Linked DNA regions of Arabidopsis thaliana. The protein of the gene in region 2 purifies or fractionates together with the protein of the main gene of each other region. This does not show direct contact. Each region holds a gene or a part of one and is shown on either strand. Other genes may lie near its edges.

Evidence for each region. The genes of interacting proteins can lie anywhere in the genome.
Region 1: the proteins of AT2G31610 (region 2) and RPT2a purify together in Arabidopsis thaliana (affinity purification with mass spectrometry; 2 studies listed by BioGRID, with this or other methods). This does not show direct contact.

The regions. Positions count from the first base shown.
Region 1 is NC_003075.7:14,310,210-14,313,963, reverse strand, and holds the start of RPT2a (regulatory particle AAA-ATPase 2A), read right to left. Parts: upstream 1,682-3,754; 5' UTR 1,596-1,681; coding exon 1,122-1,595; intron 1,029-1,121; coding exon 783-1,028; intron 467-782; coding exon 297-466; intron 217-296; coding exon 1-216. Other genes in the region: AT4G29037 (plant self-incompatibility protein S1 family protein), read right to left, coding at 1,836-2,084, 2,215-2,466; AT4G29035 (Plant self-incompatibility protein S1 family), read right to left, coding at 3,194-3,649. UniProt on the Arabidopsis thaliana protein: The 26S protease is involved in the ATP-dependent degradation of ubiquitinated proteins. The regulatory (or ATPase) complex confers ATP dependency and substrate specificity to the 26S complex.
Region 2 is NC_003071.7:13,448,239-13,451,992, reverse strand, and holds AT2G31610 (Ribosomal protein S3 family protein), read right to left. Parts: upstream 1,753-3,754; 5' UTR 1,610-1,752; coding exon 1,580-1,609; intron 1,497-1,579; coding exon 1,349-1,496; intron 1,269-1,348; coding exon 1,097-1,268; intron 816-1,096; coding exon 629-815; intron 540-628; coding exon 324-539; 3' UTR 11-323; downstream 1-10. Other genes in the region: AT2G31620 (Receptor-like protein kinase-related family protein), read left to right, coding at 1-2; AT2G31600 (INO80 complex subunit D-like protein), read left to right, coding at 1,910-2,550, 3,188-3,452.

The DNA.
Region 1 (3,754 bases), on a different chromosome or scaffold from region 2:
TGGAAGATACGTCTTCTTGTTTTGATATCTGGGAGAGGGAACTCGATTTTCCTATCAATCCGTCCAGGTCGAAGCAGTGCTGGGTCAAGACTCTCGATTCTGTTTGTTGCAAGGATGACCTTAACATCTCCTCTTGAATCAAATCCATCAAGCTGGTTCAGAAGTTCCAACATAGTTCTTTGGATCTCACGTTCACCTCCTGAGTGAGCGTCATACCTGTTCTTTCAAACAACAAGTAATCAGATAACCATTATCAATGGGTTATAGATCAGGTTTATGAAAATAGTTTAACTTACCGCTTGGTACCAACAGCATCAATCTCATCTATGAAGACGATTGATGGTGAAAGGTCATCAGCAACTCTGAAAAGTTCTCTCACAAGCTTAGGACCATCTCCCAAATACTTCTGAATCAGCTCACTACCAACAACTCTCAAGAAAGTAGCTGATGTTGAATTCGCAACCGCCTAAAATAAGATCAAGTTAGAGAGCTTATTCCCATTAGATAACACCACCAAATTGCAACTATCTCATGCTTGTGACAGAGAGAAACGAGAAAGGAAGACATTAATAGAAACAAGTGACTCAAAAGATTCTTATCCATGAGAACAAATTTCTCGCTATGTTCAAACGTATGAAATCTAGGTGACCAGCAGCACAACAAAGGTCTGGCCTTTGACCGAACAAACGATTAACTGAATGTAATTGACAAGTTAAGTAGTAAACTAAGCTATACTGCAAACAAACACTAATACTCATTAGATTCTAGGTACAAAGACAAACCTTAGCAAGCAATGTCTTCCCAGTTCCAGGCTCACCATACAAAATTACACCCTTTGGTGGTTTAATACCAATATCTTCATACAACTCAGGATGAGTCAAAGGAAGCTCAACAGCTTCCTTAATCTCCTGAATCTGAGCTTCTAAACCTCCAATATCAGCATATGACTCCAAAGGAGCTTTCTCAACTTTCATCACAGACACCATTGGATCCACTTCATCTTGTAGAATCCCAACAACAGAGAGAACCTAACATAAAACAAATCAGCAACCCTAAATCCACAACAACACACAATCGTAATCACAACAAAAACAAGATTCTTAAACCCTAATTTCACATACCTTATTATGCATCAAAATCGAACATCCAGGTTCAAGCTGATCTTTATCAACGAAGGACAAAATCCCAACGTAGTACTCAGGTCCAACAGAAGAAGAAACAATAGCGTGATTCTCATCAATCAACTCTTCCAAATTCCCAACACTCATAGGTGTACCACGAAGATCATCAACCTTAGATCTATCTTCCTCAGCTTTCTCTTCCTGAGGTTTCAACCTCTCTTGATTCGCCACAAACTCTTCCTCCATCAACAAATAATCCTTGATCCGTTCCAATTTCAGTAACCGGAGCTTACACTTAGTAGACGGAGTCACCGTCGGAAGTCTCGCCGCCGCCTCTGGCCCTTTCTGCTTCCTTTGCTTCCTCCCTACACGAGCCGGTGGTGCCGCCGGCTCAAACTTCTTCTCTTTCTTATCTCCACCATCAGGTTTCCGATCTCCTTGCCGATTCAATCCTCCCGATGGTCCTTGTCCCATGATTCTTCTCTCTTCTCTCAATTTCTCTGAGTTCGAGGTTCCTTTCTTTCTCTCTTGTACTCTTGTACTGATATTTTCTGGCTTTGGGAAGAAGAAATGTTTTTTTTTTAATCTTTGACTAAGGCCCATATATAAATATTAGGCCCAAACAATAGTTGGGCTTGTAATTGAAACCAACATACAATTATTGATACCAAAGATTATACATCATGATATAATTTTTTTTAGATCTATGTGGGGTTAGACTGATGAGTCCAATTCTGATTCACTTGTAGGTGCAGACACTGGAGAGATGTTTCCAAGTTTTGATGGACCATCCCATGTATACATGAAATATTCTCCTTCGAACTTTTTGTTGCGGACATAGACTCCTTCTTCTTTTGCAGTCCATCTACATACATTAGGATGCATACCAGTACATGTACCATCTATAAAATCTTTGTCTGGACGAAACGCATCAAAAACCACATGGTGTTTGTAATTTGGTCCCTATAACAAACAAAGATGAAATAAAAAGTTGGTCAAAAATTTATAGTACAATCACTGATACTCATCTTAATTTTTATACATGACAATATGTAAAGAAATGTATAAAAAAGTTAAAAATGTGTTTTCTCACCTGCCATAAATTACACCAATACTGAGTTTTTGGATAAATTTTAAATTTAAACTGAAAACTTTCACCAATTTTAAGATATGTGATTGGGAAATTGTGAGATTTGCTCTTGCAATGAACTTTCAGTATCTTGTGAAACTCAAGTTGATTTACTATTTGGACATTGAATTTTCTGAAGAGAGGAGGCATCAAATAAGAGTTTATAGAATCAAACGAAAGGAGGATAACAAATAAACTTAGCAAAGATTTTCCCATTTTTCTAAAATCTTTCTTGTCAAATGTAAAAAAACTTATGTCAGAGGTAAATGTGTTACAATGTCTTTATATATTTGTTCATATATTTGCTAAGTTTTTCTTCTTCTTCTTCTTCTTATCCTCCTTTCCTTTTAATTCTATAAACTCTAAATTGTTGACTCCGATCTCTATATTTAATGCTTTGACTTTGTTTTCAAGAGACTATTGTCATACAATGTATTCTAGTGTCACCATTAGTACTTGTATATATGGTCATAAATAAGTTGAACGAAAACGAATCCATGATCCATACTTTCTTAGAAATGATTGACCCATGAGTCCCCCATAAATAACAAATACATAAAATCTCATACTGATAATTAATTATTAGTATATCGTGATCAAAATACATGGTTGAATTTTCTTTAATATGGATTATACTCGAATAAACTTTCAAAGATCTCTCGACTTCAACAATGAATTGAATCATGGTGAATCCCCTTTATATATCAATCTAAAACCTCTATGATGAGGTGGATTATAAAGCAGCAAACCATTGTCTTGAACAGTCCAAAAACAATTGAATCCAAGACACGATCGAAGAAAACAAAAATCTTCGATGAAAAATACAAAAAAATAAGAGAGAATTTATGACAAAAGTAAAGTATTACTTCAGTTTTTTTTGCCTGCCAAAATTAACAGATACATATAATAGTTAAAAAATTACCAACAAATCAAAAATATGTTTTCACCATCCAGATTTCCATTTCTCCGACAGTACATCTTCACCGATTGCAGAATTCCAAAGATAAAGGCCATCATTCTTTGCGGTCCAAACACAATTCTTCCAATCACATCTATGAAATAGAATAACATCATCCCAAAACACTTTTACATTCATATGACCATCATCTTTGCTCATATAGCACCAAAACAAAGTTGAGTGAAGCATATTTTCTCCAAAATTCCAAGAAAATCTATCTAAGAACTTCAGGTTAATATCACCTAGATCGTTTTCCTTAGACTTACAATGGATGAAAAGAGTTTCACCAGTGGTCAAACCGTTAGCAACCGTAACTTGCCACTCGGAAATCTTCGGGACTACGATGTCTCTCGTGGTGGTGTCGCGGGCTAAAACATGATCTTGACATGTTAAGACTAGATAAAAGCAAATTGCCAAGATAAATTGTTTGATGTAATTCATTTTTTTTCCGGGCAAGCAAAAACTTTAGGAAGAATTTTTATTGTTACTTCTTTTTATAGTGGGAAAGTGAAACGGTAATTTTGATATTATTACATCGCATTAATG
Region 2 (3,754 bases):
AAAAGATAATGAGAGCTCCAAACATTTTAGTTTTTGTTATTTTCGAATAAAGTGTTCTGAGCAAAATGATAATTCAAAGTAACAACATCAAATACCAGGCATTGTTGTCGTCATTCTTTTTCTTATTACGAGTCTTAAGAACAAAAAAATCATGGAACTAAAAGCATTCAACCTCCAGAAAACTTGACATAGGTTAAGAAACAACATGAGAAAAAACTTGTCTGCTTGGAGGATATAAGAGATACGACTAGAGAGTGTCAAAAGTAGAAAAGTTATAACAAAAAGAACAAAATCCCATGGAGTAATAGTAAAAAAGGTCTTCTCTAGGCCACTGGAGGAATCATCTCAGGGTAATCTACGGTTGTGAGTGGAGCTTCTTGCACAAGAGTAACTGGAGCAGCAGCCTGAGCAGGTGCAGAGTAGACAACATCATCTTTAGGAGCATGAATGATCACAACATCAGGCAATGGTGTCTTTGGTCCTGATTTGCCCGTAGGGTCCCAGTCAAGCATGATCTTCACCTTGATTCCCAACACCCCCTGCAAATACGGATTGAACCAACAAGATTAGACAAAGCCGGTATACTTACTCACTAAATGGTAGATAAGAGACTCATTAGAAAGCATACCTGTCTGAGCAAAACATGTCTCACTGCAGCATCGATGTATTCCTTAGTTGGTTGACCAGATGAAACCATGTAACCATCCTTGAACTTCATGGACTTAGCACGTGCAGCACGGAGCTTTCCACTCACGATGACCTCACATCCCTTAGCTCCACTCTCCATAACAAATCTCAAAACACCATAACAGGCCCTGTATATCAAATATACCATTGCAATATTAAGGATGAGAAGTTCAAGTGAAAAAAGAGATGCAATAGCCTTGTCGACACATTATGTATCATCAGTGTGTTCAGTAGATAGAAACATAACTATTACACAAAATCTATAAAGAGTGCGCATTTACAGAAACCCCACTGAGAAATATAATTACAGTTGTATCCTATACATTTCACTATTAGGACCAAGTAAGCTAAACAATAACAACAGCAATTGAGAGAGAATACACAAAAACATACTAGAGAAATGTCGTACCTGCGAACAGCAAGACCACCGAGAAGCTTGTAACGTAGAGACTCAGCCTGAGCAATGGCACAGAGACCTCTGTTGTTAACCTTCTCAGCATAGAGCTCAACACTGTCAACTGGAAACTTGAATCTCTTCTGGACAAGAGATGTCAATTCCCTAATTCTCCTCCCCTTCTCACCTAAAACCCAACATTTTCGATATCAGATCTCGAAACACATTCAAAATCGAAAGAGAGAAGAAATGATCAAACAAACATACCAAGAACATTCTGAGTACGAGTAGCTCTGATGATAATCTCAGTCCTCATTGGAGTAACCCTAACCTCAACACCAGAGTAACCATCCTCTGCTAGCTCTCTTGTGAGAACCTCATTCAATTCAGCGTAGAATACACCATCCGCTACAAACTACAAACACAGTAACCAGATCAGTTCCAATACGATACAGCTAGAGAAGTCCACTGAAAACAAAAAATGAAATCACAATTCACCTTTCTCTTCTTGCTGATTTGAGTCGCCATACTTGTGGATGTGAAAATCAGCCGATCTCTGAAACCCTAAATGTTGAGACGAAGAGAATCGGTAAGCTCGTGTTCGTTATCAGATATGATTTTAGTATTTATATTGACCTAATTCAGAAACTTAGGTCTCACATCCAATTGAGTTTGGGCCTATTTGTTGAATATGTCAGCCCAATGGACATTTTATGGGCTTTAATATATTTTAAAATTTAAGTACTAATATTATTTTTTAAAAATTAATAATTTCATTCCCGACAAGAACATCTGATTTTGAAGCTCTGTCATTTTCCGACGACGGCAATGGCGTCAGCTTCCAAGAACATTCAGCAAAACCCTTTCTCCTCGAAACCACCACGGCCTCCGTATTCCTCCGGCGCTGCATCAACAACCGCAGTGGCTTCCACCTCAGCCGAGCCCCTAATTCGAAACTCTACCTTAAATCCTAACCCTAGCACCAGCGGCTTACCGTCGACATCGAATTCACCGATTACGATGTCACAAGAAGATGAAATCCTCGCACGCTCCAGTCACATAACCCGGTCGGAGCTTCTCAAACGCCGATCACACAACCTGAAGCAGCTGGCCAAGTGTTATAGAGACAATTATTGGGCTTTAATGGAGGATGTCAAGGCACAACACAGGGATTATTGGTGGAAGTATGGGATTAGTCAGTTTAAAGACGAAAATAATCAATCGAATAAGAGACGGAGGCTTGGTCAAGAGGGAGATATCGGAGATGGTGGTGATGCTGTTGAAGGTAGTGGAGACAATGTTACTAACAATGATGGTGTTAAGAGTGATCAGTATGCGAATAGTAATTGTGGGAGTTGTATGTATGGATGCAAAGCTAAAGCTATGGCGCTTACGAAATACTGTCAATTGCATATTCTCAAGGATAGTAAGCAGAAGCTCTACACTGGTTGCACAAACGTCATTAAACGGTTTGTTTCACTTTCCCTTTATTTGGTTTTAAAATTCTCGTATAAACCAAAGTAATTGATGCTTCAAGTTGTGTTCTTTGCATATTATAGTTGGTGAAGATGTTGTAGTGATGATGAATTGAAACTGCAAAGCTGTTTTGTGTTATGTAGTGAGCCAAGAGATTGTTTCTCTTTTTTTTTCAAGTTTGCAGAAAGGATTTGGGATTGACACTTGACTTTTTTTCAAAGTTTTTCATAGGGTTTGGGAGAAGTCTTAGCTTTGGACATCGAGATAGTGATCGTCGGTAATCATTTATAGATTCAGTAGTTGCCTTGTGTTAAAATATTGCTCTATGTGCTTTGTTGTTCTGGTTGATACACATAACTGACGCAGATGCTTGAAGTTGTCTGTTTTGATGTGTATTTGTAAAATAGTCAGGATATGAGTATTAGCATAACTATATCACCCTTTGAAAATGTATTTGTGTTAGAATAGTCCCATTGTGGTAGTATTAAAACATAAACCAAGTTTCAGATTTGAGTTTTTACAACCTAGATTTCATATATAGGTAAGTTTGTATGCTGGTTTGTAATTAGCATATAATGATAATTTAAGCAATTCTCACCTAACTCTGCATTGTTTCCATTGTACATTCAGAGCCCCAGCAGGACCATTACTTTGTGGAAAACCAACACTTGCGTCGACTGTTCCTGCACTGTGTAATATACACTTCCAGAAAGCCCAAAAGCATGTGGCTAAAGCTTTAAAGGATGCTGGTCATAATGTCTCTTCAACAAGCAAGCCTCCCCCAAAGCTCCATGTTATAGTAGCTGCGTTTGTGCATCATATTCAAGCGAAACGAAAAAATCCACAGAAGGAGTGTAAACTTAAAAGTGTAGTAAAAGAAGAAAATACAAGCTGAGTTGAGCTGTTAGCGTTGCCAGAAGTTATTTTTGTGTATGTCCCAGAAGGGAAAAGGTGAGGATCTCTGCCTTACTATATCATTCTAAGAAGTGACATAAAACGTATTATGTTGCGCTCTTAATCGTCTACAGATTTTGTTACAGTGTAGGTATCGGATGTTTATCTGCCCTGAGCTATTAAGAGAGGTTTTGTTACAGTGTCCGGTAGGGTATAGTAGTTTAGATAGTGGTAGTTTATTAGGCTTAATAAGAAGATAACAGATCCATAAGCACAAAAACTAGTGTGTTGGAAGTTGGAACT